4 linked regions of the Elephas maximus indicus genome follow. The protein of the gene in region 2 binds, or shares a complex with, the protein of the main gene of each other region. Links are inferred from orthologs where the notes say so. Each region holds a gene or a part of one and is shown on either strand. Other genes may lie near its edges. The genes, in order: SARNP, THOC1, THOC7 and THOC6.

Region 1 (7,337 bases), on a different chromosome or scaffold from region 2:
TTTTCATTTGTTAATCTCTCCTGATAGCACAGTGGTGAAGTGCTCAGCTGCTAACCAAAAGGTTGGCAGTTCGAATCCATTAGCCGCTACCTGGAAACGCTATAGGGCAGTTCTACTCTGTCCTATAGGGTTGCTATGAGTCAGAATCGACCTGACGGCAACAGGTTTGGTTTGGTTTGATCTCTCCATTTGGTTTGTAAACTCTCAGAGAACAGACATTTTATATCATGTACAACATTTCACATAGCAGAAACTCAAACACGTATTTATTTTCAAGTACTAGTAAATGCCATAAGAAGCCTTGGCAGCGCAGTGGTTAAAGCGATCCACTGCTAACCAAAAGGTCAGCAGTTCAAACCACCAGCAGCTCCATGGGAGAAAGATGTGGCAGTCTGCTTCAGTAGAGATTTATAGTTTTGGAAACCCTATGGGGTCACTGGAAACCCCGGTGGTTTAGTGGTTAAGGACTACGGCTGCTAACCAAAAGGTCAGCAGTTTGAATCCACCAGGCACTCCTTGGAAACTCTACGGGGCAGTTCTACTCTGTCCTATAGGGGCACTATGAGTTGGAATCGGCTTGACTGCAACAATACGGTTTTATGGGGTCACTATGCACTGGGTTTTTTGGGTTATGAGTCAGAATCGACTCGACAGCAATGGGTTTTGGAGTATGTAGCAGACCAGATGCTAAGTACCTTGAATGCATTTTCTCATTTAATCCTTAAAACAAACTTATGTAGTTGGTATTATGATCCCCATTTTATAAATTAAGAAAATGAGACTTAAACAGATTCAGTTGGTTTATGATCACACAGCTAGTAAACAGTGGAGCCAATATGCCAGCTAGGGTCTCTGTGATTCAAGCTCATAATCTTAACTACTAAGGTGCTAACACTGCTCTCTCTTGATTCTTTTACCTCTCTCTCCTCCTCAGCCTCAAAGGAACCCTGGTGGCACAGTGGTTAAGCGCTGGCCTGCTAACCGAAAGGTCAGCAGTTCGAATCCACCAACTTGGAAACCCCATGAAGCAGTTCTACTCTGTCCTTTGGGGTCACCATGAGTTGGAATCAATCTGACCGGATGGCAACAGGTTTGGTTTTTTCCTCAGCCTCCTTACTAGCTCTTGCTCTACCCAACCCCATAAATACTGGTATTCACTAAGATTCCTTCTTTTGCTCTCATTTCACTTGTAACAAACGTGTTCACTCCCCTGAATCCAATCACTGGCAAATCCTGTCACCTCTACTTTCAAAATATATCTAGAATCTAATTCCTTTTCATCACCTTGAACACTACTCCTCAGGTCTTCCTATCATACAGACTATTGTAAAAACCTCTTCAGCTGTTATCTCACTATAGTTTATTCTCTAGTCAGATTGATTCTTTGAAAATTTAAGTCAGACATACGTATGTGTACATGCTACAAACACATCCATGTATGTAGTTGTGCACACAAGGGACATAGTCATGAAAACGTCTTAGCCATAACCATATACCTCATGGGACTGAGATACTGGTCTTGAGAGTTAGAATAGTCCCGGGGGACATCTAGATCAACTGGCATATCTTACTCCATACAATGTTGTACATCCTACCTTGTTGAGCAGCACCTGGGGTCTCAAGAGCTTGCGAGCAGCCATCTAAGATACAATTGGTCTCTTCCTGTCTGGAGCAAAGAAGAGTGAAGAAAACCAAAGCCTCAAGGAAAATATTAGTCCAAAGGACTAATGGACCACCTGAACCACAGCCTCCACCAGCCTGAGTCCAGAAGAACTAGATGGTGTTCAGCTATCACTACTGACTGCTCTGACTGAGACCACAATAGTAGGTCATGGACAGAATGAAATGAGAAATACAGAACAAAATTCAAACTAAGACCAGACTTACTGGTCTGATAGAGACTGGGGGAGCTCCCAAGGCTATACTCCTTAGACACTCTTCTAACTTGGAACTGAAATCACTCCCAGAGATCACATTATAGCCATACAGCAGAACAGGCCTATAAGATGAACAATTAACACCAGTGAGGAATGTACATCTCAGAACAATCAACTATATGAGACCTAAGGGGCAGCATTTGCCTAAAAACACAGCTCAGAAGGATGGTAGGGGCAGGAAAGCTGGGTGAATGGATACAGGAAGCCAGGAAGGAAGGGGGGAGAGTGCAGACACATTCAAGAGTTTGCAACCAAGGTCACAAAACAAGCTGTGCATAAATTATTGAATGGAAAACTAATTTGCTCTGTAAACTTAACCTAAACAACAAGAAAATGTTCACACAAAAAAAGAAAATTGAAGTCAGTCATGTCACTCCTCTATTAAAAAATTCCCCCACTGGTTTTCCATATCATAAAGGATAAAAGCTAGAGTCCTAATCATCACCTACAAGGCCCTACACAATCTATTCCCCATTCCCCACCATTACCTCTGTGACCCCTCTTCTACTATTCCTACTAGCACTGCTCACTTCGATAAGCCACGTGGCCCCTTACGCTACCCCTCTAACACTTTCCACATGGCTCACTGCTTTACCTCCTTCAAATCTTTGCTTCAACATCTTCTCAAAGAGACCTTACCTGGTCACCCTATTTAGAATGACAGCATCTTTCCCACTGTACTTCCTGTTTTTCTCTACAGACCATATCACCATTTTATTGTGCCTTCTCCAGAAAAATATAACCTCCATGAGGGCAAGGATTTTTGTCTGTTTTGTTCATTGCTGAATTCCTAGCACCTTTACGGTAGCTGGCACGTAGTAGGTACTCAATAAGTATTTTTAAAATGAAACCCAGACTTTTACCCCTAAACTCTCAGCTCTTCAGCAAAAAAACCCCATATTTCCAATTGACTACTAGACATCTCCAAAGTGACGTCCTAAAGACTCTTAAGCCTAAAACTAAATTTCTCTCCTATACAAGACTGGCTCTTCCTCCTCTTCCCAACCTAAAGGAGTCAATCTTGGAGTCATCTTTCATTCCTCCCACATTTAACTAATCTATAAATTCATACAATTCTACATTCCAAATTTGTTCCCATTCTAATAAGCACTACCTTATTTCAGGTCTTTTGACAAATAGTTACTGAGCACCTACTGTGAATCAAGCATTATCTTAAATACAGGAAAATAATCATAAGGAAAAAAAGTCTTTGCCTGCATGGAACTTACAATCTAGTAGGGGAACAAGGCAATTAATGATCACATAAAAAGTGTTTAACTGACTTAAAAAAAAAAACAAGCTCAAGGCTCTATAAAAGCGTATGAAAAGAGGTCTGATCATGTGCATGGATAGAGAGGGCAGGGAAGGCTTCCTTGGGTAAACAATGCTTGAATGATATCTGAAGGGTGACTAGCAGTTGATTAGACAAAGGTATTGCGGGGAGTGGGAGGTGGCAAGAGCACTGTAGGCAAAAGGAAACTGCAGCATTTGTGAAGGTTCTAGATTCTGAGGTAAAAACAAGAGGCAGTAGTCCATGGTGATCTAAGAACATCAATTTTTGAGACAGACTGCCTGGGTGTGAACCACAACTTAGCTGTGACATACAGCAAATTACTTAATCAGTTATTTAATCTCTCTGCACTTCAGTTTTCTCATCTTAAAATGGGATAATAGTAGTATTTACCTTATCAAATTAGTTAATGTATGTAAACAGCATTGACCAGTGCTTGCCACATAGTAAATGATATGTTAGTGTTAGAAATTAATGAATATAGCCATTCTGAGAAAATGAAATAAAGCCACTGTGGTTGGAGTGTTATAAACTACATTGGAGAGACATTAAAAGGTTTTAAGCTGAGAAGTAATGATAAAATCTGTCCCCCTCCAGATTCCACCCTCTGCACTGCCAGTAGAACACAGACAGGTCTGATCATCCTCCTTCTGCCTACATGACAAAAGCCAAACTCCTTACACAATTCGTTGTTTTAGATGCTGTTGTTCCATATAGGACAGAGCAGAACTGCCCCATAGATTTTCCAAGAAGCGGCTGGTGGATTTAAACTGCTGACCTTTTGGTTAGCAGCCGAGCTCTTAATCACTACACCACCAGGGCTCCACAACTTAGAAGGCCCTTTTCAGTATCAGTGCAATCCACCCTTATAGTCACACAGTTCACCTAGTTTTCCCTTCCAAACTATCTTCAGCTATCCACATATATGCACGTTATGCTTCAATAATGCAAATGTCTCACTATTCTTAACACTGACACTACTATACCTCTCTCCTCTCCTCTGCAATAGTCCATTTTTTAATGTTTGACTAGAAATCTGGTACTGTTACAGTTCAAAAGACATTTTCACCCACATCCACAGTTCTGTCTCTTTCCAACTGTGCTAGCATGACTGCACTTCTATAAAATCTTTATTGCCAGTGTAAACCAAAAACAAAAAAACCAAACCCGTTGCTGTCGAGTTGTTTCCGACTCATAGAGACCCTATAGGACAGAGTAGAACTGCCCCATAGGGTTTTCAAGGAGCACCTAGTAGATGTGAACTGCCGACCTTTTGGTTAGCAGCCTGAGCTCTCAACCACTGTGCCACCAGGGCTCCAGTGCCAATTTAGACAGATAATATTTTTCGTTCACTTCAAATCTTGTTCCTTAACAGTAACTCCAGGTCCCATTTTAAAGCCCCAAACCCCCTTTATAAAAAATGGAAAGGTTTAAAAAAAAAAGAAAGAGATAAAACCCTAAGTCAACCCAAAAGTCAGGATCACTCTATCACCTGTCCTGAAAGTCAGAATTAAAGGCATGAGTTCTTAACTAGAGGTCCATGGACTCCTCAGGGCTACCAGGTAGTTTTACGAGGCCCCTCAAATTGCATGCAAAATATGTATACATGCCTTTTTGTGGGGGAAGAGGGTCCATACCTTTCATCAGAGTTTCAAAGAGATCTGTGACCTCCAAAAGGTTAAGAAGTACTCTAGAGAAAAAGCAAAGACAAGCAAATGTGATTAAAAGGGTGAGTCCTTTTTAGGCTGCCTGGAATGCCTCATGTTCTTAATATCTAAAACCTGAAATCAGGTCAGAGGACATTCTGTAAAAGCGACTTAACCAATTAAATGCAAATTTAATATAGATCTGAAAAATACAGATTTGACGGAAGGAGGAACTCTATAAACACAAAATCCAAAAAGGCAAGTCATGGAATAGGAAGAAAATACTAAGTTTTCTATTCATATTTCCTTTCATCTCATCCACTCAAAAGTTCCTTTTGTGTGTGTTTTTTATAATATACATAACAACACAGTAGTATGTATGTAATTTATATATAAGTATACATACAATGAAGGTGGTGGCGTAATTTGTTTTTACTCATCATGATATTAAGAGGCCACCGATATAACCTACCCATTTCAGTACCATCAACTTAGCAGTAACACCAGCATAACAAAAAAAACCCACTAGTACAATTTAGAAATCAACGGTAAGAAATAGATCGGCTTTCACAGAAAGGATAATTGGTGTCAACTAATAAGTGATTAAAGAAAGGACCTCTATCTTTACTACTTAAACTTACTGGTCATCAAGTTCTAAAGGATCAATTTTCACTTTTGGCTAAATCGGCCTGTTTCGATCACGATTCCCAGAACGTGACCAAAACATCTGATGGGACAACTATTTGTGAAACCAAAAATGGACAACTTATCAAGTTAATTCGCCCTAAAAGAAACTACTCTTTTCTTGAACGAAAATGATAATCTAAATGTGAGAAAGCTACCAAGACCCATAACTTTAAATAGCTTCTGTGATTCGGAGTGTCAGTCGTGATATCAAGAGATGCAAGGTCCATCCACGCGATATGCAAGGGACTGAGACAAACCTAACCTTGGCATTGTATTCCACAGAACTGAAGCTAAGGGTTCTTTCTCCAAGGGGGGAGGTAAGGAGGTGCGGCCTGGAGGACCGGGAGCCACAAAGAGAACTCGAAAAACTTTTAAATCTGAGGTGTCTGTGCCTTTACTAACTGCTAAGGTCCCCTGAACCCCAGGTCTCGCCCAGGTTTCAAAGTTAGCCTCCGGGGGCGTAACCCCACCTGTAAAAAGAAGTGGAAGCATTTTCTGGATCACGTCTCGGTCCTCGACACAAATACACAAAGGTGCAATCACCTAATAGGGGAATCTCAACTTTGATAAACAGACGGGAAGCATCAACTCGGAAGAAAGGGGGGGTCCCGTGTCGGCGCAGGGGGAAAAAGAGGGGGCCGCTGACGTAATGCACCTCTGACAAGAAACGAAAAAGGAGTATAACAGGTAGAAGGCACTTACACAACCCAGTGGGGAAGGCTGACCGACGATACAGCGATTAAGAAAATTGGGAAGTCGAAATAACAAGTAAAAATAACTGTAAAGCCACGAGGAAAAACGGAAAAGTAGAGGAGTAGTGGGAAGACGGCAGGCACAAAAGAAAAGCCGACTAACTACGGCGGGAGAGGGAAAAGAAAATGGAAAAAAGCTACAAGGAGAACACGCAGAAGAAGGCGCAAGCCACTCTGCAGAATCCAGTTTCCAGAAAAGTCCAACTCAGCCATTCTCCCCTTCACGGTACCTTCAGCTTATGAAGCTCCACCGTCTCCGCCGCCATCTTGTTACCCCCTCTACTCCACTAGGCCCCCACCCGCCCCTTCTGCCGCCAAGAGCGCCCGCTTACGCGCAGAAAACGGCGGACCAATCGCTGTCAGTCTTACTTCCACCCCACACCATCAGCTCTTCCCATTAGTCAAGAAGTGGTGTCGCTCTCGCTCTTCTCAGCAGCTTTCCCCACCTCTCTCAAAAGGTGGGACAGAGAAAAGGGCGGGTTCTGCCGCTTCTGAACGACGGAAATAGCGACCAATTGGAGTCTCCATTGCAGACCGCCAGCCAATGGGTGGTGGAAGCGCTGATTCTGCTCCACCAATAGGGAGAGTACAAATGGGCGGGGACGGCTGCTTCCTGGAGACTACAGGTGTGGAAGCGAGCGCCGTGCTGTAGGAGGGGAGCTGTCAGGTAGGGGCTACCGGGAGACTGGAAAGGGGTTACTGAGGAAAAAAGGTGGGAGGGGGAAAGGAGGTGTGGGGGAGTTACAAACCGAGAGATGAGTGCTGGAGAGAGCCCTGAGGGGACCTGACGAACGAGAGAGGGAAGCTGGGAGAAGTATGGGGCGGGTTCAAAAGAGTTTAGGTATTTTTAGGTAGAGGCGCGGGCAAGGGCTGCTCCTAACCAGGCATCAGCTTTAAAGCTAACACGAATTTAAAGGTCGACGTTCAGATGACCAGAAACACCCCGGAGTCGGGGCTAGGGCTCTATCTCTCAAGGCATTGAGCTTAGGTCCCTTTGTAGACCAGTCCAGAAGCCCAGGGCAAG
Region 2 (7,006 bases):
TAACCTATAGTTCTTCCTCAGTAAGACCTCAAGCCACACTCTTTTTATACTCAGTTGCAGAGGGCTCTTCTTCATTTATTAAACCAAACCCTTAAATTGCATTTGTGCTATCAAAATCCTTAATTATTATACAACGCCTACACTGACTATAAGAAACCCTAGTGGTACAGTGGGCTCCATAGGAGAAAGGTATGGCAGTCTGTTTCCATGAAGATTTACAGCCTTGGAAACCCTATGTGGTTGCTTCGAGTCAGAATCAACTCAATGGCAGTGGGTTTGGTTTTCCGGTTTTATATACTATGACCAAGTCCACTTTCACAAAGTAGCAAGTGCACTGTACAAAAAATAAAAAAAGGTGCCTTAACCATGTTTAAATATCCAATCTAACAATAAAAGCAATGTTTTTTTGTAGTAACTCTGGGATTAGTAATTTGTTGGCAAAATTTTAACAATTAAGGAAAACCAAACTTACAATTTCTTCTTCTAGAACACCTCTGAAAGCTTGATCAAGAGTGCATTTTTTTTCATTTTCACTATTAAGGAAAGAAAGACAGCCTCATTTTTTAAACAGCTCAGGGTAAGCATAAAGATTTAGGCAAACAATTTTCATAGGTGTCAATGCCTTACCTGCCAGGTAACTGGCTGAAGGTACTCAACAATGGCTTGATGTTTTTGTTGTTCAAGGCTTCTCTGGTAGACTTCTAGAAAAATAAAAATGGCAAATAAGTAGAAAGATTTTGTTATTATTTACTAAAAAAATATAATTATTAATATAGCTTAGTATGCCTAACTAAAAAAATGTTTATACCTGGGAAAAATTACCTATACACCTTTTTCTTCATGATCCTTATTCCAAATGGCACCAACTAATACAAATCCTCATCACTTTAAACCCGGCAAGAGCGTACTAGCTAGCCTTTCTCATTCCAGGTATCCCCTTATATCATCCCCTTAACTATCACATTCATGATGGCATTCTACTTTGGAAAAAAAAAAAAAAAACTCCAAATGGCTTCTTATTCATATGTTTTCATTTTGAATTTTCATACCTACCTCTCAAGGTCCTTGATGCTATCCCACTCGGTCTATCCAATCTTATTCCCCACTACTCTCCAACATGAAACGCTACACTAAATTCTAGCCATTTTTTCATCATTTTCTATCAAGTTCATTCTAGTGTGTTCACATTCATACTCCCACCTTCTCATCCAAATTCTATAAGTTTTTCAAGACCCACCTCCAGTCCGTCTTCTCTATGTAGCCTGCTCAGCACAGTCCCTGACATGTAATTAGCACTGAATAAATAACTGCTGACCATCTTAAAGTAGTCATAATTTAAAGACACAAATACTGTAAGGTCATTCGTTCTGTGAAAATTCACATACACTTGGAAAGTCACTGTGTTAGATGACTCTAGAGGAGTTAAGAGCTATGCTGAAATGTCCATTCCTGGCTCTCCCACTAATTTGTCATTATCATTATCGTTAGGTGCTGCAGAGTATCTTCCGACTCACGATGACACTATGGACTACAGAATGAAATACTGCCTGGTCCTGCGCCAATAGGCTGTATAATCTTGGACATATCTCTTACTCTCTCTGCTTCATTTTCCTCACCAATAAAATAAGAGGGCTGTCTTAGACCCATACTACCAGCAGCAGCAGTGGCATTGCTTGGCAACTTGTTAGAAACGCAGAATTTCAGGCCCCACTCCAGATACTGAACCAGAGCCTGCACTGAACAAGGTAGCCAGGTGAGCCTACTGCACACTAAAGTTTGAGAAGCACTGGACTAGATGAACTCAAATTACACCATCCTTTCCAGGACTAATACGACCTTGGATATTCCTAGTAGTTACTCTTAGCTGTTACTCTTCCTAGAATTTCAAGGCACCAAGGATGACAGAAAAACACACAAAAAATTATTATGATCACACAGACATTATATAATTCGTTAAAAAACAAACCCCACACTATATGGAAAAAAAAAACCTGCAGAAAGAAAACGACTGACTACAAAGAATAATTTTTTTTTCCACAGAATTTTCATTCTGGCATCACTATTACCACCCAATCACAGTTAAATACCTGAAGAGTTGAACCATGCCTTGAAATACTGGTACAAATGCTAAAGAAGAATACAGCCAAACAACTTAGGAAGAACAGTGTTTCTTCATAATGGGAGCAGCGATGCACAACATAAAGAATACTGGGTCTGGAGTCAGAAGAATCAGTGAAGTAAACCACTTAACATCTTTTGGGGGTCTCAGTTTCTATCTCACATACTGGTGATAATAAAATTTAGCCTATCACAGTGCTAGTCTAAGAGTTAAATGAGCTAACGTGAAAGCGCTCGGAACGGTGTTTCCCAAATGCTTAAACCACCCTTCTCCAACACGCAAGAATACGGTGACATCTGGTAACCCTTCCCAAGCTGACCTGTTTGCTTTTCCCCACTTAGGGTCGTCTTTTCCATCTATTGGGACTGAGATACGGAAGATTAAAGGGTGGTGAACCGGCGGCCGGTACAACCACCTCGGCAGCTTAGAAACTCGGGCGAGAACCGGTTCTCCAGGCTGAGCCACTCCCGCCCTCCCCCTTCAGCAGCTCCCCTTCTAGTTCTGGAGACACCTGCCCGCTAAGCTAACACTGCAGAGGAGCTGGACCGCACCGGAGGTATTCTTCCGGTGAGATCTCCACACAAAGCGCAAATGCACCCAGAACGCAGGGTCCTGAGACCTGCCGGCGGGAGGGCGGGGACAGGCAGCAAAGGACGCGCGAAAAAGCTAGGGAGCGCACCCCTCCCTATCTCCCAGCCTCCGACGGGGCCGGGAGTAGACGCCGAGGCGTACACACCTCTGTTCCCGCTCTACCCCAGGGGAAAATTCGAGTAATTTGAAGGACAGGAGAGCAAAGAACAACGCCGGCTCAGGCCTGCACGTTCCCGCCGCCGAAGCTCACCGTAAACCGCGTCCGCGCTTCGGGCAAACTAAACAGCGGCGGCGTCGGAGACATCTTCCCGGCAGCGCGCGCCCGCCACCGCGCTGCGGCGCCCGCCGATGACGTCAGGCCGGGAGCAGCGAGTTGGCAGCTCCGTGCGGCTAGAGCGGCCTGTGAACCGTGGGGCGGGTAAGTTGTGAGTTGAGAGCTTCCGTGGCGCGTGAGTTCGGGTGGGCGTTGGAAGTCTGAGTCGGTCAAGCAGTGCTTAATCCGCCTTCGCGGGTATGGCCCTTGGGGTTGGGGGATGTGGGCGGCCTCGCCCTGCCTGCTCGGCGTTGCCGGGCAGGGAAAAAGCGGGGTCGCCCACCTGCATCGCGGTGGTTTCCCTGGGGTTGGAAAGCTGGGTGAATGGCGGCTAATTACGGCCTCAGAGGGGCGGCGCAGGAAGGTAACTGGTGTCCGAGAATTTAAGGTGTGTGCGTTTGGTAGAAACAACGAGCTGCGGAAATGATGGCCGTGGCCGCCGAACCGTAGTCATTCAGCCTGAAGCTTGAGATTTGAAGTCGTGAAGGACTCTAGATTTGAATATTAGCCTTGTGGAATGAAATGATACTTGGCTCACAGGGCTGTTGAAAAGCTGGAATGAGATAATGAATACTACGCGCATTATAAATTGGTAAAAGCGATGTAAGTATTGTTTATTATTAATATTTTTACTCTTGGAATCAAGATGACTTTAAAGTCAACTTTTCATTTGACTTTACTGGCGCATAATAGGACTCTACTGAAGAGAAAGACGGAGCAGAAGTGCAGTACCCGGCGCTGATTCGAAAGTGGCTGGCACTGGGTCCAGGGCAGAGGCAGCCCTTGCAAAACCATGCCTCCTAAGCAGTTTCTTCCCTTTCCTCCTCTCACAAGAGAGATGTGGCCAGTGAGAAACCTACTGGCAGTAACACTCCGTTAGGGTTATGCAGTGCAGTAAGAGACACCGACCCCAAACTTTGCTTCCGCATGTACCTAAGTGAAGAAAGCTAGACCTGCTGTATCTTGCCTGTTCCTTTATTTACATCCAACAAGGATAAAGGAAGCTAATAAAAAGATAATTTCCACAGAGCCTTATCGCAAAGTGGAAATTGTGCATACTGATGGCTAGCTGGAGCATTGCAGTCTATTTTTAGAACCAATCAAATCATTCAGGTTTTATTGTATAACTTTAATTTCCAAATTAGCAAAAAGGATTTAGTTTAAAAATATACTTTGTTAATCTGAAGGTAATTGATGTAATATGATTATCATCACATTAAAAATGATTATTAATCTGGAACATAGCTGAGACCTCAGAAGTAAAAAAAAAATTTTTTTCACAAAATCCAAACCCAAGAAGAGCTGGGGTTTATACTAGGAAGGGCACTTGGATGTTGAACAGCCAGTTGGATGATATCCTTTGGCCATACTGGTTGCCCAGCACAATTCCTCTTACTTCAGGGGCCTTGGTGAATATTGGGCTACTGTTCCCATCTTCCCTACCATTTGAACAGAGTCCATCTACTGAAGAAGAAAGTGAGGCCAATGCATAGACACAGAGCTTAAAGATGAAAAAATAGACTAAGAAATGAAGAGAGACGAAGATAAAAATGTTAAGTAGGGAAGACAGATGGGTAGGAGGGAGAGATGATGAAAAGAGAGATTGATTACAGCACAGTTTGAGCACTGGACTTTTTCATGTCAGATGACAGCTCCACCACCATCCATTTTAGTTACATGAGCCAGTAAATCCGTTTTATTATAGCTTCATGCTGTTTGGAGTTGGACTTCATTTGCTATCAAAAAGTCCTAATTATGCCTGGAGCAGCAGAGGAAGAGGAGCCCTGATGGTGCAGTGGTTAAGTGCTCGGCTGCTAATGGAAAGGTCGATGGTTCAAACCTAGGGAAAGGTGTGGCAGTCTGCTTCCATAAAGATTTACAGCCTTGGAAACCCTATGGAGCAATTCTACTCTGTTCTGCAGGGTTGCTATGAGTCAGAATTGACTTCATGGCAGTAAGGTGGGTAACAGAGGAAGGAGAGTCAGGAATAGGAGGAGGATATGGAATATGTGGCTAATTGCCTTCATGAACAACTGCCTCTACTGTGAGACCAGAAGAACTGGATGGTGCCCTGCTACCATTACTGATCAAAGATTGTATAGAAGAATCCTGATCAAAAGGGGGAAAATGTAGAACAGAATTTTAAATTCTTATGGACTTCAGACTTTCTGGAGCCAAGGGCGCTGGATGAATCTCTGAAACTATTGCCCTGAGATAATCTTTAAACCTTAAACCAATAACATTCCCTGCAGCCTTAAAACCAAGTAATAGTTTAGCTTAACTAGTAAAAAAAAGTCTGCCTTGAGCATTATACTCTTTTAAAAACTATATATGGTGTCAAAGTGACAACAGCAACTTGAAAGATTAGATAAGAACCTTAGGGAGCAGTGAGTTTACGTTAATGGGGAAGAAACAGCTCAGAAAAGGAGGGTATGAATGGTTGCATAACTTGAAGAATGTAATCAGTGTCGCTGAATAATACATGTAGAAACGGTTGTATTGGTGTATGTTTTGCTGTGTATATTCTCAACATTAACAGCAACAAAATAAAATCATTAAAAAAAAAAAAGTCCTAATTAATGTAGGAGGTGAGGGGGAGTTTCATCTACAATTGTATGGGTTATTGTTTGCTTTCCTTTTCATTCCTTAGTCCCAAAATGAGAAGGTTGGACTGCCTGCTGAAGTTCTGAATGGGATGGATTAGCTTTTGAATGATCCAGTCTGCTGGAGATTATGGTCTAACAGGTGTATACACCTGCATTACCTCCCATGAGCCAGGTGAAGTCTAGTTGGATTTTGCCCCGAACAGTGGTAGTTGGTTGATGTTTTCTGGATACATGGGAGAAGAGAGGGGTGAATTGAGCGGTGGTAGATGTGAACAGGAGCGCTCATGTGATCAGGAAGTGACCGGGTAAGTGGGTGCTTTCTAATGCTGTAGTGATGGTGACTCTCAAATTATGTACCTCAAAACTGCCTGCCTGAAGAAATGGGGGCAGCATTTATCATCTGGCTTCAATTTTCATTCATCAAAGGCTGCTTCATGGAATGTTGCTGTTGGCATGTCTGAGTCCATAGAGGGTTCTCACAGGTGTTCTATGCAATGACATAATATTACTGAAGCCCTGGGCAAGGGAAAAAAAGATATGATGCAGCTGAGGTGAAATGCTGTCATTTTCACCTGTGTGGAGCTGATGTCACAGCAGTCGCAAGTGTAAAAGTGGGCCCAGAGGATGGGAGGCAGGGCCAAGGGATATCTAATATAGGGAAAAATTTTTTTGACTTCTTAATCAAAGGGGGAGCCAAAATAAATTACAGTCTTCACAAAATGATGTGGGATCAAGTATATCAACTGTATTTAAAAAAAACTAAAGGGTAAGCGTTAATAGAATCTAAAATAATAGATTCTATACCTCTAAGATCACTGAAGAAAATTAAAAAATATATAGATCATATAAAAAAAGTTAGAGAACAAAGGAAACTGCAGAATCAATCTCTGTATGGAGTGTGTATATGTGTATGTATAAGCCTTTATGTATGGATGTATATATATTTTAAGGTACAAATTACTGATGATAGAAGCAAAAATAGACATCAGAGGAAGGGTTGATCTAGCCTGAAGTTTATACATTTTGGGAGAGATGGTCTTTAAGAAGAAGAAGAATACAAATTATGGATAAAAAATTGATATGAAAGTGAATAATTTTGGGGAATGAGAAAAATGAAAGTACATTATAAATGTCACAAACATCGCAAATCCAGAAAAACTGCAGTATTATTTAACTGCCTGGTATGCTTTTATCATACTTTTCCTTTACATTTTTGAGTCCATGTTCTTTGATCACCTCATCATGTGACAATGGTTATGTAATATTTTTATTAAAAAAGAGAGGATAACTCGACCTTTTATTTAGCATAGTGAACATCTTATTATTGATAGTTTAGAAAAAAAAATTTTTGAGCTTCACAGCTAATTATTGGATATG
Region 3 (7,280 bases), on a different chromosome or scaffold from region 2:
CTCTTCTAAGCTCCAGGGACAGGTACTGGTACTTCTCCAAGAACTTTTCAGGACCATTCTCGCCTGCATAGCATCTATTCTCTACACAGCAGTCCAGAGTGATCTACAAGATGTATCAGATTGCTAACTCTCCTGCTCACAGTCCTCCCATCACTTCCCAGTGCCAACAGAAGGCAATCCAGCCTCCTTCCCATCGTCTGTACGGCTCTTTGGGAGCTCTGGTGTATGTCTCTGACCTCCTTTTGGACTTCACTTCTCCTGGCCCTCCTGCACCCAGCTTTACTGGCCTTATCTTCCTAAAGGGCACAAAGCACTAGTTATTGTCTGTACCTGGAACACTTTGCTGGGCTTTTCACATAGTTAGCTCCTTTTCTTCCACTTCAGGTCTCACCTCCAATGTTACATCTCAGAGAGGTCTTACCTGATGGCTGTATCTTAACCTAATTGTCAGCACTCTTCCCCATTACTTTGTCATCATTACACTACATTCTTTCTCAGAACATAATCAATTTCAGAACTTAATAACGTTCTCACAAACTATCTTATCTACTTATTTGTTTGCATGCTATTGCTTCTCTCTCCCAATGGGCAGGGCTGCACTCTGTCTAGCTTACTGCTGTAACCCCAGCATCCTGCATTGTGCCTATAAGGTACGCGATAGATACTTGTTTACTGATCACACATACTATTCACATCTCGATTTTTAGTAAAAGCTCAGATGAGGAAACCCATGTTATAGAGGACTGCCCAAAGACGTTGTGGTTTGTCTTTTCCTTTTATGGTCTAAAATATTCTTACAAAAAGCAAAAAACTCTGCTCTGGATTAACCAGGCCAGCAGAGCTACCCACCTAACCACACGGGCTATTTATTGGCTTTAACACGCCTTTCTGAATTGTGATTTAGCCTACTTTCCCCTATAACAGAGATGTGCTAAGAAACAGCCCATGATTCTCAGTGCCAACAAAGGGGTTGAAGAATGACACTGGCTCCTCTTTATGAGGACCTCAAAGAGAAACTTTTTCTCTAGTGTTTAAATCAGACGAAAAGTTTGTCCAGGGTATCTAATGCTGCGTTCTGTCACCAACACTGGCTCACAGAGTGGAAAGGTCTCACCTCTTGGATGGGCCGCTAAGGGAGCCCAGCCACTTGTAGCTTTCTTAACTAACGCACCACACTTCACTTCTTGCATTTTAAAGATTGCCCCGCGTCTGGCTTCCTCCTGTTTTTCTTAGTCTCAATGTCCTTTTTGCCCTGTTTTATCATCTATTTACATTATTCTGTATTTTCTCACTATGGTGAGCTGAAGTAAATATTTTCTGGAATAAGGCATGTAAATAAATTCAGACTGAGGACCACTGCAGCAACATGCATAAAATAACATGGCTAACAGGTGAGAAATCAATTGGTTCTGGGAAAGAAAGAAAAGTAAAAAAAAAAAAAAAAACACCCAAACCCATTGCTGGTGAGTAGATTCTGACTCACAGCGACCCTACAGGACAGAGTAGAACTGCCCCATAGGGTTTCGGAGGCTGTAAATTTTTATGGAAGCGGACTGCTGCACCTTTCTCCCGCGGAATGGTTGTAACCTCAAAGGGAGAAAGATCTTGCCTGTTCATTCTGGGCTGTAATCCCAAGGCCTAGCCCAGCTAGGATAAATATTACTGAATAAATGAAACTGGAATGAAGCAAAGTTGAAACTCCTCATGAGGTTTCTGGATCGTTCACAGCCTCCCACCTCCCCTACTCCTTACCGTATCCACAAATTTGGGCTCAGCACTCTCCCTTCCATTGCCCAGCTCTTTAATATGGAGACCCTGTCTGCCCCCACTCTTCAGAAGTGGTCTCTCCACAGGCATCTATAGTTACTGGTCACCCTCTCCTCTAACAGACCCGGTGACCAAAGACCCCCTCCCCCAAGCTAGGCTCTCCCCCAGTTGCTCATCATACCTGTCCACCTTCCCCAGGGTGCCACACAATTTCTGCCCTCAGTCCCTAGACCACCCCCTGGGCCCTTCTTGACCACGTCCACCTTCCTAAGCTGCCCTCACAACTGTACACAAACTCAGCCTCTGTCTCCAGCCTCCCTCCATCCAGTCCAACCAACAAACCACCTTCCCTAGGATACACACAAATCTTTTATTGCCCCCACCCAATAGTGGCTCCTCGTCTTTCAAATAAGTCTCCAGGCACACTCCCAGATTGCCCTCCAGGCACCCCATCCACATCTATTCCTTTCAGATGACGTCCCCAGCTGCCCCTCCCCACTCCCAGTCACTGTAGCTCGGGGCCCCTTCCCAGTCTGCCCAGAGGACCCCTCCAGCTGTCGGCCTCCACACCCCGATAGCCCGCCTGACCCCTGCGCTTCCATCCCCTTCCAGCCCTCCACAGGCGCTCGGACCCCCAGCTCCATGCCCTCCACAACCCCCACCCCCCACAAGGGCTCCCCGTCACCTCGCGGGCAGCCCAGGCCTCCTCGGGGTCCCAGTCCGGCTTCCGGCCGCCCCGGCCCCACGTGGGCGCCCAGCCCCCTCCCAGCACCCCCTCTCCATGCCTTGCGCCGCCTCCGGGAGTCACCGGGGGTTTCGGGGGACACGGGCGGAGGCCAGCGCCCCCGGAAGCGGCTGGGGGTTTCGGGAGAGGCCCAGGGGCTCCGAGGGGTCTGACCGGGGAGGCCCAGGGGCTCCCGGAAGCGGCCAGGGAGGCCGGGAGTCTCGGGGGAGACCGACAGGTCTGACTGGGGAGGCCGGGGTCCCAAGGCGGCCGAGGGTCTCGGGGGAGCGGCGGGGGGTCCTGAGGAGGCGGCCGGGGAGAAAGACTAGGGTCTCTCCGGGGCGGCCGGGGGCCTGGCCGGGGCGCCGAGCGGGTCCCGGGGCGGCCGGGGGCCTCACCGTCAGTCACGGCTCCCATGGCGTGCGCGGCGGCGGCGCCAGCTGAGGCGGCGGTTGGCGGCGGCGGCGGAGGTCAAACTCCCACAATGCAGCCGGGTAAACAGCCATGGAGGAGGAGGCGCCGCCCGCGGCCGCCCTCGCCGCCGCCTGAGCCGCGCCGCCGCCGCCGCCGCGGGACCCGCGCCCCCCGCGCCTCGTGAGCCGGGGCGGCCGGGGGCGGCGCGTGGAGGCGAGTCCCGGCGGGCGGCGGCGTCCGTGCAGCCCCGGCCGCCGCCCCTCGCGCCCGCCCGGAGGCCGCCGCCCGCCGCCAGGTGAGCTCCCTCCCTGGGACCACCCCGTCCGGCCGCCGCTGGGGGGCCTGGCGCCCGGGGGTGCTGAGGGCGGCGGGGGCTCCGGGCTGAGCCGGGCGCGCGGCCGAGGGTCCGGCGAAGTTGGCGCCCGCGCGCCCGGCGGGTCTCCTCAGGGCTGCGCGGCGCGGGGCGGCCACGGGGAGGCCGGGTGCGGGGGGCGCCTCGGGCCCTGCGGCCGCGCCGTCTTCCCGGGCTGAGAGGTGCTGGGGAGCGGGAAGGGGAGAGGAACTTGTCGGCCTGGGGGGCGGCGCCCAGCACCAGCGCCGGGCACCCCCTTCCCCGACGGAGCGGGACCCGCCGGCGGCCACCGAGGGCTGCTTTCATCTGCTGCTTTGATTTTAAAAAAAGAAAAAAAAGTCTTGTGCGCCCGTCCCCGTGTTAAGGGGAAGTTGGAAGTGAAGGGGTGGGGGCCCAATGAGAAACGCTGGTTTCCGCGCAGAGTTACACGTTTCCGGAGCGCCCTGCAGATGCTGTTGGCATCCCTTCCCGAAGTCCCCCAGCTCCCACCTGGCCGAGGTGCCCGTAGGTGGCAGCGGCGCAGTGGTGAGGGGCGGCCCGGAGCCGGGCACCGGCGCAGCCGGGTTGACCTCGGTGGACCGATGGGTAGTTAGCGCAAGACGCCGGGCTGAGCTCCGAGCCGGCTCTGGTGTTTTACCGAGCCATGTCGTGACTCTCTTCCCGTTTTCTTGCCTCCCAAGTACTGTCTGCGTCTTCATATCCGGATGCAGCAGTCGTATAGGATGGATTCGGTGGTTTCAATTTTGTTGATTGTATTTTACTAGCAGGGACTGGTCCTCCCTGTTTTCCCTAGTTCTTTCAAAGAGGACGAGCTGTAAATGCAAACGTATGGCTGTAAAGTGTGTTCAATCTCTAGCTAGACGTCGGCGTATGCAAAATTTTACACACATCCACGAGTCCAGAAACTTCAATAGTGTCATTCACAGCGGTGACAGGAATTAGCACCTTCGATTTTTAAATTACCGTGAGTGAAGATTCGGAGGTTTCACTTGCCCTCCCCTAGGATATGAAACCTCCCCTGGCTTTGAAACACTATTGGGCCCAAACGCTGGCTCCACATGGCATCAGACTGTTCAGTTACTGGGTTTTAGAGAGAGGGAACGCTAACCAGAAGGATTGCTTTAAATCTTCACTACAAACAGTAAACTGAAAGTTTCAATCGATTATCTAGCCACAGTGACATTTTAGTGGGGATTGTTGTTGTTCAAAAGGTAATTGTCAAGTGATGAAATGATGTTTTTTTAAATTGTTACTCGGTTTTATCATAATACTGATTTTGAAACAGTATCTAATGGTTTAAAATAAGCTTTAATGTTTTTATAGGAATGTGTTACTGCCCCTCGGAAGTATTTTCACGAGACATTCTGTCAGTTTTTCACAGATAGAGCCTTGCAGACACTTTCAGAAGTTCAGTTAGTAATTTATAATTTTGTTGGACAGAGCTCAGAAATTTCTAATGTATTAATACCAAGACTTTAAAGGAGGACTTCAAACCTGTTTCTTCTGTTTTGAACCCCTGCTGAGAATTTGCATTTCCACCCCAGATATACTGAATCAGAATCTATAGTTTAACAAGATCCCCTCGTGATTCTTATAATAAATTTTGAGAACCACTACTCTGCTAGTGATTCTCAGAATTGGCTCCTAACCAGCGGCCTTAGCCTTGCGTGGGAACTTGTTAGAAATGGAAATTCTCAGCAGGGTTTTGAACCTGAAGTTGCCTGTTCAAAGACCTGCTTTAACACTTTTGTGAACCAATTATTTTCTGCTTTGAATTTTTTATTGATAGTATGTTTTCATTAAGGGAAGCGTGCCGAATCATTGAGTGTATCTGAATTTTTGGTGGGTAGAATGGATTTTTTTTTCCTTGCCCCCTCCCACAAAAAAAAGCCTACTCTAAATGTTCAGCAGTGCATATGAAGTAGCGTTCGTTAATTATACCCCAGCGTCCCCAGTGGGGCCTATTAGTACATATATGTAACAAATAAAAATTTTCAAAATTTGTTTTTCCTACCAGAAATTCAGACACTTTGTACAATACCCTGCAAAAACAGTAATTGTTGCAGGACACTCCCGTTTCCTCACCCTCAGACAGTCCTAAAGACCCCTGCCTTTCGGTGGCACAGACTGTCAGTGGTCCAGCAGCTTCCCATAAACGTTCAGAGGCAGAAAAAAGTGCTTGGTCCCTACAGGTACCTGTGAGCGTGAAAGGGTTAAAGTATGAGGTGTACTTGAAAATAAACATTCCTGAAAGTTCTTGATTCAGTAGTGGGAAACACAACATAATGTGAACCTTTATGGCCTCTTTAAAATCTCCTTTTCCAGCTACATACTTTAATTCACAAGTGCATTGACACAAATTTGTGTTGAACATTTAAGAATTTTTCTAATTGCTTTGTCTTCATATTGTGTGTGTATACATGCACGCACACACGTATGCATGTATGTTAGAAAAACAGTTTATAGCAAGGGAAGATATTTTAGTAAATTTTAGAAGTTCTGTTTCTAAGGAGGTGTCTGTGGACAGAAACACAGAAATGGAAGTAGCAGATTTTAAGTTATAACAAAACTGATCTGGACTTTGAACTTGTATGACCTTAGATTTAGTGACTTTGATTTACTCAAATCATTCTGTTTTCTTTGAGAGTATGAGGGGCTAGTCAAGGAGGTTAGTCTGAGTCTGCATTTACCATTTACCTTCAGAAAGTGTAAAGAATGATGAGGGAGCTGGCTGGTGGCTTCACCCTGGGCCTGTGAAACGATGAAGGCGTTTCTGTCATACGCTTTTAGAAGAAGGGTTATTCTATTTTAGAAGAAGGGTCTGTGGGCCTCCAGGAACCCATGAGTGGACTTGAAAGGATTCCTGAAGCCTCTGTAGTTGTGACCAAAACTTTTTTTGTGTATGTGTATTTTTCTTGGGGAGAGGGTCTGTCTATACCTGTTTTATAAAAGAGATCCAGGGGTCAAAGTGAGACATACCTTTTTTATTAAATAGAATGGAAGTTAAGAATACTCATTCTTAGGAGAAAAGAATTAAGAAAAAGTGGATCTTTGTGCTCAGTACTTGCCTTTTAAAGCTGTCTTCCCCCAGCCAGGATGTCCTGGAGGTGCAAAAACTCTTGGGTTTCTTCCTACAGGAGAGCGTTGCCAGCAGTTGATAGGCCATGCATACACACAGAGGGCAAGCCAGCCTGCTGTGCCAGTCCTGGGGCCACTGTGGCTGTTTTTAAATTATATCTAAAAATTCAGACCAGATAATTGACAATGGATAAGCAGAGACATGAGTATGATGCCAGCCCTTGGAGTAAGTGGTTCTTTCAGCTCCATTCTCTTTTTTGCTCTTCTAGCAAATTTGAAATTTGCCTAGGAAGTAATTGTCCTAAGAAAACACATTTGTACTTTGGCAGGACTGCAGAGCATGATGGGGAAAACATAGTTTCTGTGCCAAGGCGGACCTCAGTTCAAATCTGGGCTCCCCCATTCACTGTAGCTGCTCTACCTGCTTTACCTTCCGGTACCTCATTTGAACAGCGCCCACCTAATAACGTGTATGTGTTGGAGGGTGGCATGATGTTTTCTGTAAAAAACTTTGAGCTCCTCATTTGGCCTATAGGAGGGACCTGGAAGCTAGGTTTGGGTAACATTTGCCACAACAATCAAAAATAAATACCTGAGCAAACGTGAAAAAAAGTAGAGTCATGTTATTTGATAATAAGTTATTAAAATTGGTATGCTGAAAGTATTAAGTTAAAACATTTCAAGAAATTGGATTTAAAAAATGAATTAGGAACAAGTGGTCCTTGCAGTGTAGACACCTGGGGGAAGGTTGAAGGAAATGGTGTGGTTAGAAAAGCTGAGGACACTGATGCTGGGCAAAAAGAGACAGTAGCGGCTCCCTAGCATCTTGACTGTCTCTCCGAGGAAGATTGCATTTCACGTTACCTCCTCACCTGTAATTTAAATGAAAAATCTAAATTAAAAAACTGTGCATGTGCTTTGTAGTCCATCAGCCCTAAAACTGCC
Region 4 (7,177 bases), on a different chromosome or scaffold from region 2:
GGCACCGCCCTTGCCCTTTCTGGGACTGTTTCCTCTTCGGGCCAGTGGAGCCATAGGCTCCAGATTGTGTTCCAAGGGGGGCTGGTGCCCTCCCCATCCCGAAACCCAGGCAGGGGCTCACAGTGAGCAGGGGCCAGCTTTTGGGGCCAGGGGTAAGAGGTGGGTGGTGGGGCAGAGCTGCCTATTTTAGGAGTCTATAGGTCTATCTTTTCTAAGCACTGGGCACTCTCCAGGCCAGGATGACAATGTGTATTTATGTATCAAGATCAGACAGAGTAATATATAAATCACAACACCAGCTTGGCCTCCATTCTTGGGAAGGAAGCACATGGAAGAAACGTTGGAAACTTTATTTGTTAAAAAGAAAGGGAAAAAAAGCACTCCAAACTCCTGGGGTGAAGGGTGTGTTGGTGGGTCAGAAGGACAGGGAGAATGCACGGTAGCCCAGATTGGTGAAGACATCCACCCGGCAGCTGTTGCCTGCAGCTGTCAGGACCTGGAGACAAGAGGGGCATGAGGGCCCTGCCCAACCCCAGCGTCCCAGTATCCCATCCCTTCACTGGACCCACCTTGCACTCAGGAGCCGCTGGCTGCTGGTTGAGGCTGAGGCTGAGCAGCCCCGGGGAAGAGCCTGGTACCTGGGCCTTGAGCTCCCCGCTCAGCTGCCATTGGTTGACACAGGGGCCCTGGCCGGCAGATAGAATCTGTAGAGGGCAAGAGAGGGCTCAAGGGTCAGGGCTGGAGACGGGAGCCAGCAAGGGCGGCAGAAGGAGACAGAGAGCCTACCAGGTCCTGGTAGAAGGTGACGTGCTTCTGTGGCGCCCGCATGGGGAAGATGGTGGTGGGTGTAGAGGACCGCAGGTGCCAAAGGGTGAGTGCTGGGCCCCCTCCACAGACCTGGCCAGAAAGGCAGGGGTCCCCGGCCGCTGTGAGCCATGAACCCCTGAAAGCAGGGCCCAGAGCTGCCACCCATCCCACCCCACCCTCTGGCCAGCTCACCATCCAGTCTGAGTCGGTTGCCAAGCATCCGATCCAGCGCCCGTTGTGGGGCCTGGAGCACTCCTAGAGGGAGGAAGAAGAGAGTTGCGGATACAGAGAAGCTGGGGAAGAGCAAGGAGGATGGGGCTGGGGCATGGCCTCACCTCGTGCTTATAGACCTCGATTGTCTGTACCTCCTTGGCTGTGCGGAGGTCTGTGGAGAGAACCTTGAGGGGTGCCATCCTTGTCCCATCCTCCCCACCACCATCTCTCCCTCCAACCAGCCAGCCCCTTACCCCAAAGCCGCACGGCCCCATCCTCACCACCCGAAAGCACCTCGGGGCTCCGCTCCCGCAGCGCCAGGCAGTGGATGTAGTCCGTATGGCCCCGGAGGGCCCGCTGCGGGGAGAGGGGCTGTGTCAGGAGCAGGTCCAGAAAGCACCCCGCCCCCACGTGACCTGCCCCTGGCTCTCAGGCCCTGCTCACCGTGAAGGCCCCAGTCTCAAGGTCCATAGTGTGTAGCTGACAGTCTCCCCCAGCCAGGATAAGAGAATTCTCCTGCAAAGAAAGGCAGGGCAGGACTGGAAATCAATGACAAATCAGGACGGGGACAGGTGGAAGGACCAAAGTTTGGGCCAAGAACACAGCAGGGCGGAGCCCCCAATCACAAAGGACTTAGGGGGCCTCAGACCTTGGGGACGAGCAGCAAAGAATTGATTTCAGGCACTTCCAGGCTGGTCCTGGGGGAGGAAAAGCAAGGTCCGCTTTGGTTCAAGGGTGCCTACATACCCAAGTGCCTCCCCCCACGTGGCCCTGGCTCACCTGTATGGTGGCTGACAACGCCACAGCTCCTTGCTGCCCTTCATGGTAGAAAACGCCAAGTGACCTCTAAGGCTCTCCTTGGGCCTGGGCACCCAGCCTGTTCCCCAGGTCTACACTCCTTACCTTCTTGAGGATCTCTGCCCACAGCCAGGCCTTTACCTCCCCATCCCCGGCACTGACTAGCTGTCGATCGGTGGACACCATGCTGTAGACGGGCCCATCATGGGCTAAAGGGAAAGAACCTGAGCGACCCCATCTGGCCCCTTCCTCCACCCTGGGATCCCCAAAGCCAGACCTGACAGCTGCACCCACCTTGGAAGGTCACCACAGGCTTCTTACTTTCCTCTTTAGCCTCGGAGCTCAAAGCAGCGGACAAGCTGAAGTTGAGAAGGGAAAGGGGAGGGGGCCCAAGAGCCAGAAGCCGGGAGCATCAGTCCCAGGAAGGCCGAGTGCCAGGACTAGTGGGTGCAGGGGAACAGGGGCCATGGGTACCTGAAGATGGCAATCTGCCCGTAATTGTTGCCTGCCGCAAGGAACTTCCCACAGGGGGACACACTCTGGGAGAAGACAGTCATGTGCAGCCGCTGCAGGGCCTGAAACACCTCCATCTGGGAGGAGAGGTGGGATAAGAACCTGCAGACCTCTAGCCCTGCTACAGCCCAGCCCCCCACTGTCCAGACTTCTCAGCCCTCCTTCAAGGCAGCCCACCCCGCAGGCGCCTGCCCATACAACCCTGGGAGGCGCCAAGAAGAGGATGAGGAAAGGGAGAGCTCAGGTGTGCTACCTAATGGGACCTCGAGCCAGCTCCCTAGCTTCTCTACTCAGTTTCCTCAAGTATCAAGTGAACTCACTGGAGTTTGTGTCTCAATTAGATGCGCTAATGTATATAAACAGCATCGCAAAGGGTCTGCCATGTAAAAAGCGCTTAAGAAGTGGTTCTCTTGTCCCCAATACTTAAAAACGTGTTCACTTCTGGGGTACTCCTCTGGCTCCCGGTCTGAGTCCGATTTCCACTAGCAACCCACGCGCAACAGGGCTCGGGACATGATTCTTCGCCCGCCCGGTCGACCCGGGCCTGGAATACAAACCCCAGAATGCCCTGCGTCCCGTGCCTGCCTCACCTGACCCAGAGGAACCGCTTGTGGCACTACTCGCTCCATCTCGAGGACTACAAGTCCCAGAATGCTTCGTGAGACGCGGCTTCACGAGTCCGGACGTGCCCGCGACCAACTCGTCTGCGGCGCCCCACGTCCCAATACTGCCGCCGGTCCGGCGCGAAGGTGGTTTCCGCGTTCCGCCCCAAGCCCCACGAACCGAGATGAGCACCTTGAAGGCCGCGGCACTACGTGGCGCCCCCTGTAGCCCTGCTACGCCTGATCCCCTCCCCCACCCCGCTGAACAGACCCGCCTTCCAGCCGCGTGCCGCCCGTCTTCCGCGCCTGCGTGAATGCTCACTGCTGCGCGCGCCAAGGCCACGCCTCCCGCCGTGCCACGCCCCCCCAAGGCACCGCCCCTGTCGGGCGGATCCCTCCCCTTTGCTCGAAGGACGGGTAGCCCCAAAGATCCTGCCGCAGCCCCTAGAGCGTGGCCCCCGGGGTCGGACCCAGCGCGACCCCAGTGCTGCCTCAGGGGCGACCTGGAGCCTGGACGCGAGGTGCGTGTGAGGCCCCCGGGGTGGGCCTAGCCAGGGGGCTCAGGGCTGGTCTGCAGTATGACACATGGCGGGTGAGCTGGTGGAGCTTGGGCGTGAACTGAGACTGGAATGGGGCTGGGGGCTCAGGGCTGCTGGATGGCCCAGGAGAGGAGACGTGACTTAGGGGGTCAGCTAAGACAGGGATGGGGGCTGCTGGCTGAGGCTGCAGGCTCAGGCGGGCAGATCCTCTTGGCATGGGGCCAGGAGGGTGGGATGCACCTGGCTCTTGTCTCTTCTCAGCTTCCCTCTCCAAGCTGTGCCCATGAGCACCAAGCGGCGCCTGGAGGAGGTGCAGTGAGTTTGGAGGCAAGGAGGGACTCCCAACTAGACCTTGCCCACCTCTGACCCCCATCAGGCTGCCTCCCCTCTCCATATCCCAGCCAACCTGCCTTCCCTTCTTTCCCCAGGGAGACTTTGCACAAGCAGTTCTTGTCCGAGGAGAACATGGCCACCCACTTCTCTCAACTCAGACTGCACAACCACCACCCCTACTGCAGCCCTCTCAGGGCCTTACCTCCAGTCCTACCCCCACTCAGGTGGGCACCTTCCACCTGCCAGCCCCCTGGAGGATCACACTGGTCTTCAGCCCAGCCTCCAGGCCCTGCCTCATCCTGCTATTTTTAGCTTCTGGGTTGTTTCCCATCTTGACTCCTTGGAGGGTGGTGACCTGGATCTAGTGGGGGGTGGCTCTGCCAGGCCAGCCGAGCCCTGCCCTGTCATTTCCTCTTCCAGGAGCCCTTGCTCTGAGCTCCATCTGTGGTGCTACTCTGGGAACCTGATCCCTGAAGCCCTCCAGCTGCTGAGGCTGGGGGACACTCCATCCCCCACTACTCTGTTACCACAGCTGGGGACATAATGGAGCTCTGAGTACTGGTGGGTAATGTCCTGCCCACCTGCCTTTCTCCACACATAGGGGAGACCAGCACCAAGCTTCCCTGCTTCTCCTCCTCCACCAGACCAGGCCTCTGGGCATCAGGACCTTCCCCCCCACCAAGGAGGACACTGAGGACAGAGCCCTGAGTGGGAGGGCAGGAGGGGCAGGAGCTTGGGGAAGAAGGCATGCTACTGAGGAGCACTGAATAAAGACTGCTGAACAAGTGAAGGCTTCACTTGGGGCCTAGGGAGAGCTGGGGTGCCGGATGCGTGGCTTCTCCCTCAAGATATTCCCTGGAAAACAGTCTGGGCTTAGCCAGGCCCTGGCAGGCTGGGCTCAGGCATTGAGAATGTGTGAGTCAGAGCCTCGCCCCCACCCCCGCGGCTGCCTGACTCACTCCCTCCCTCCAGCCAGGGAAGTCGAGCTGGGACCCTGCCACTCTCCAAGCCATTTAAAGTTAAAAACTCTTTTATTAATAAATTCTCCCTCCCTCTCAAACTTTTTCCCCAAAATAAATATCTCCCCACTTTGGGGGCTAGTAGAGGCAGTGTGGTAGAGCCGGCCCCCCTAGAGGGCCAGCCCCTAGTGTTCAGAGCAGGTCCCTAACCCCCCAGGCTGAGACCCCTGTCAGCGTTTCAGCACATCTGAATGGGTGGGGCCTAGTGTTGTGTCTGCCCTTCAGGTCGGCCTGGCCCCCCAGGGCATGGGGGGTAGAGACCCCCTTGTGCAAATGCTGCAGTTCCTCAGTGTCAGTGGTCGATAGTGTGTGAGCTGGATGGGGCTCCTTTCTGTCCTGGAGCCTGAGACCAGGCAATGAGAGATACCTTGGAAGGCTCCCCAAAACCTCAGGCCTCAGAGATGATTCACCACCATCACCCCTCCGGGTGGCTGGCTGAGCCTGGCACAGGCTGAGTCTGGGAGGCAAGGGGTGGCTCCAGAATGAATGAATGAATGCGTGGGAGCACAGGCTGGCAGGGGGCGCTCACTGTCACTGGATCAGTGCCACACCTGGGCAGCCCTCCCCGCCAGTCTCCTCGATGGGGGCTGCAAGACAAGAGGGGTCACAGTGAGAAGGAGAAACTGAACAGTGACAGAGGCGGGCAGGCTGGGGCACACTTACTGGTAAACTTTTCTCTCCTGCGGCATCTTCTCCAGACCAGGAAGCCAGAAAGCAGCCCTACCACAAGGGCCAGGCTCAGGGCACCCCCCAGGATGGGCCAGAGCAGCGGGAAGGGGGCTGGAGGGGCTGTAGCACCTGGGGACAGGATGTGAAGTGAGACCTCACCCCCCAGATCTGAGCCTCATGCATTCCCCTTCCATTCACAGCTCTGATCAGAGCCCCTTCCCCACTCTCCCTCTTCCGGATTCTGCTCCAGATGGAAAGCCTACAGTCCCCTCTCCACCCCAGCATCCCTCTCTCCGGGTCCAGGGTCCACCGGGTCCGACCCCACCCCCACTCACAGCCCAGGCAGAAGTCGCTGCGTGGCCGCACGGGGCACGACGCACAGTCCATGCACTTGTCGAGGTCCGAGCTCCAGGAGGTGCCGCGGGGGCAGGGGGCAGCACCTGGGGAGGGGGCCTCGGGTCAGATGCTGGGGCGGGGCGCGGCTATTCTGGGGGCTGAGGTCAGGGTCGGCCGGCTCGAATGACTTGAGTCACCAGCGCCCTCCCCCGCATTCCTCACAGGTGACCGCACGGCCCGTCTGGGACACGGCAGTGGGATGTGGGAGAGAAGCGCCAGTCTCTAGGGGGGAGGGATCAGGTCCTCCACAACCTAGCCCCCACCCGTCGCTGGCGGGTGACTCACTCCCGGGCACCAGGCCCGACCCCGGCCCCTCCCCCCGCATAGCTGGGCACTTAAGTCACCGGACGGACGGAAGGGGGCACCCCACATGGCATAGGGGGCAAAGACGCCCGTGTCTCTCGGCATCTCCAATCTCGGGTCACTGGGGATGAGCAGACCCCATACTGTGCAGGCTGGGGGCGTGACCCGTTAGCAGATGAGACATCCCGCCCACAAACTTTTTTCTGCCCCCTCTTCGAGCCCCGACTTTCAGGAAGAAGCCCCCGACGTAGGCAGGAGGGAAAACTGAGGCCCGGACTGAGGATGAAGCTTAGAGCTGGATGGGATCTCCCCTAGCCAGGGAATGCGGTGCCTGGAGACCACCTGGCCCCGGACTCTCATGCCTGCTTCGTTCCCCTAGATTCGGCCCACATTTCCCAAGCCCCCAGACTCGGCACCCCTGCCCCCAGCCCTGGGTCCTCCCAGCCACGCGGCCCCCACATTTCCAAGCCGGGTACCGGCCCCGCGCCCGCGTACCTGGCGTCCGCTCCCCAGCCGCAGCGCACAACAGCGCCAGCCAGAGTCCCAGCACGAGAAGCCGCAGCAGCGGACGCAGCGGGCCAAGAGCCATGGTGCGCGCGTCCACAAACCGCCGCCGTCTGCTCCCTCTGCCAGCCTGCTGCTGGAGGCAGCGCGTCCTCGCCTCGCCCCCGCCTTCCGGGGCGGAGCCTCCTCCCACCCCGCCCCGCTCCTCACAGCGCCCAGCCAGTCTCCCAGCGCCCCGCCTTGCAAACTGGCTAAGGTCTGTCATTCGTTCAACAAACACTAGCTCTGCGCCCAGGACCCTGCAGGGTCGCAGAGGCGGGCCTGCCCTCTCGGTACCAAGTCCAGAGGGGGACGGCCATCAGAGAGACACGAAACAGCTCTCATCGCAGAGATGGTGGCAACTTTCTTAAGGGCCCCAGAGGCTTAACAATAACAACAGAACAAAAATAATCCCTAACATTCATTGAGAGTTTACCGCGTG

The links.
Region 1: THOC1 (region 2) and SARNP share a complex: the UniProt entries of both Homo sapiens proteins name them as parts of the transcription/export (TREX) complex. The link is inferred for Elephas maximus indicus from reciprocal best matches to the Homo sapiens genes THOC1 and SARNP.
Region 3: the proteins of THOC1 (region 2) and THOC7 are in contact, whole or in part, in a cryo-EM structure (PDB 7APK), measured with the Homo sapiens proteins. The link is inferred for Elephas maximus indicus from reciprocal best matches to the Homo sapiens genes THOC1 and THOC7. Residues at the interface, in NP_005122.2 of Homo sapiens: Leu10, Arg14, Glu46, Gln53, Arg56, Glu60, Ile63, Ile64, Asp99, Asp102, Cys103, Leu104, Pro105, Arg146, Gln151; in NP_079351.2 of Homo sapiens: Tyr47, Gln51, Leu54, Ser55, Ser58, Gln59, Phe62, Gly65, Lys66, Leu69, Val70, Met73, Arg76, Glu77, Asn80, Ile84, Ile88.
Region 4: the proteins of THOC1 (region 2) and THOC6 are in contact, whole or in part, in a cryo-EM structure (PDB 7APK), measured with the Homo sapiens proteins. The link is inferred for Elephas maximus indicus from reciprocal best matches to the Homo sapiens genes THOC1 and THOC6. Residues at the interface, in NP_005122.2 of Homo sapiens: Ser227, Pro229, Ile230, Asp231, Tyr232, Leu234, Arg236, Val270, Ser273, Tyr274, Asp309, Leu312; in NP_001334633.1 of Homo sapiens: Leu57, Ser58, Ser59, Glu60, Pro312, Glu313, Lys315, Thr330, Asn331, Gly333, Tyr334, Ala336.

The regions. Positions count from the first base shown.
Region 1 is NC_064822.1:115,787,041-115,794,377, forward strand, and holds the start of SARNP (SAP domain-containing ribonucleoprotein), read right to left. Parts: upstream 3,069-7,337; 5' UTR 1,641-3,068; coding exon 1,596-1,640; intron 1-1,595. UniProt on the Homo sapiens protein: Binds both single-stranded and double-stranded DNA with higher affinity for the single-stranded form. Specifically binds to scaffold/matrix attachment region DNA. Also binds single-stranded RNA. Enhances RNA unwinding activity of DDX39A.
Region 2 is NC_064829.1:26,423,610-26,430,615, reverse strand, and holds the start of THOC1 (THO complex subunit 1), read right to left. Parts: upstream 3,046-7,006; 5' UTR 3,015-3,045; coding exon 2,961-3,014; intron 702-2,960; coding exon 628-701; intron 534-627; coding exon 473-533; intron 1-472. UniProt on the Homo sapiens protein: Component of the THO subcomplex of the TREX complex which is thought to couple mRNA transcription, processing and nuclear export, and which specifically associates with spliced mRNA and not with unspliced pre-mRNA.
Region 3 is NC_064838.1:69,157,913-69,165,192, forward strand, and holds the start of THOC7 (THO complex subunit 7 homolog), read right to left. Parts: upstream 3,023-7,280; 5' UTR 2,909-3,022; coding exon 2,890-2,908; intron 1-2,889. UniProt on the Homo sapiens protein: Component of the THO subcomplex of the TREX complex which is thought to couple mRNA transcription, processing and nuclear export, and which specifically associates with spliced mRNA and not with unspliced pre-mRNA.
Region 4 is NC_064830.1:60,085,818-60,092,994, reverse strand, and holds THOC6 (THO complex subunit 6 homolog), read right to left. Parts: upstream 3,164-7,177; 5' UTR 2,961-3,163; coding exon 2,922-2,960; intron 2,409-2,921; coding exon 2,293-2,408; intron 2,178-2,292; coding exon 2,113-2,177; intron 2,028-2,112; coding exon 1,924-2,027; intron 1,839-1,923; coding exon 1,801-1,838; intron 1,719-1,800; coding exon 1,670-1,718; intron 1,537-1,669; coding exon 1,465-1,536; intron 1,378-1,464; coding exon 1,275-1,377; intron 1,193-1,274; coding exon 1,143-1,192; intron 1,063-1,142; coding exon 1,000-1,062; intron 898-999; coding exon 787-897; intron 705-786; coding exon 570-704; intron 497-569; coding exon 416-496; 3' UTR 336-415; downstream 1-335. Other genes in the region: TNFRSF12A (tumor necrosis factor receptor superfamily member 12A), read right to left, coding at 5,429-5,622, 5,829-5,933, 6,688-6,781. UniProt on the Homo sapiens protein: Component of the THO subcomplex of the TREX complex which is thought to couple mRNA transcription, processing and nuclear export, and which specifically associates with spliced mRNA and not with unspliced pre-mRNA.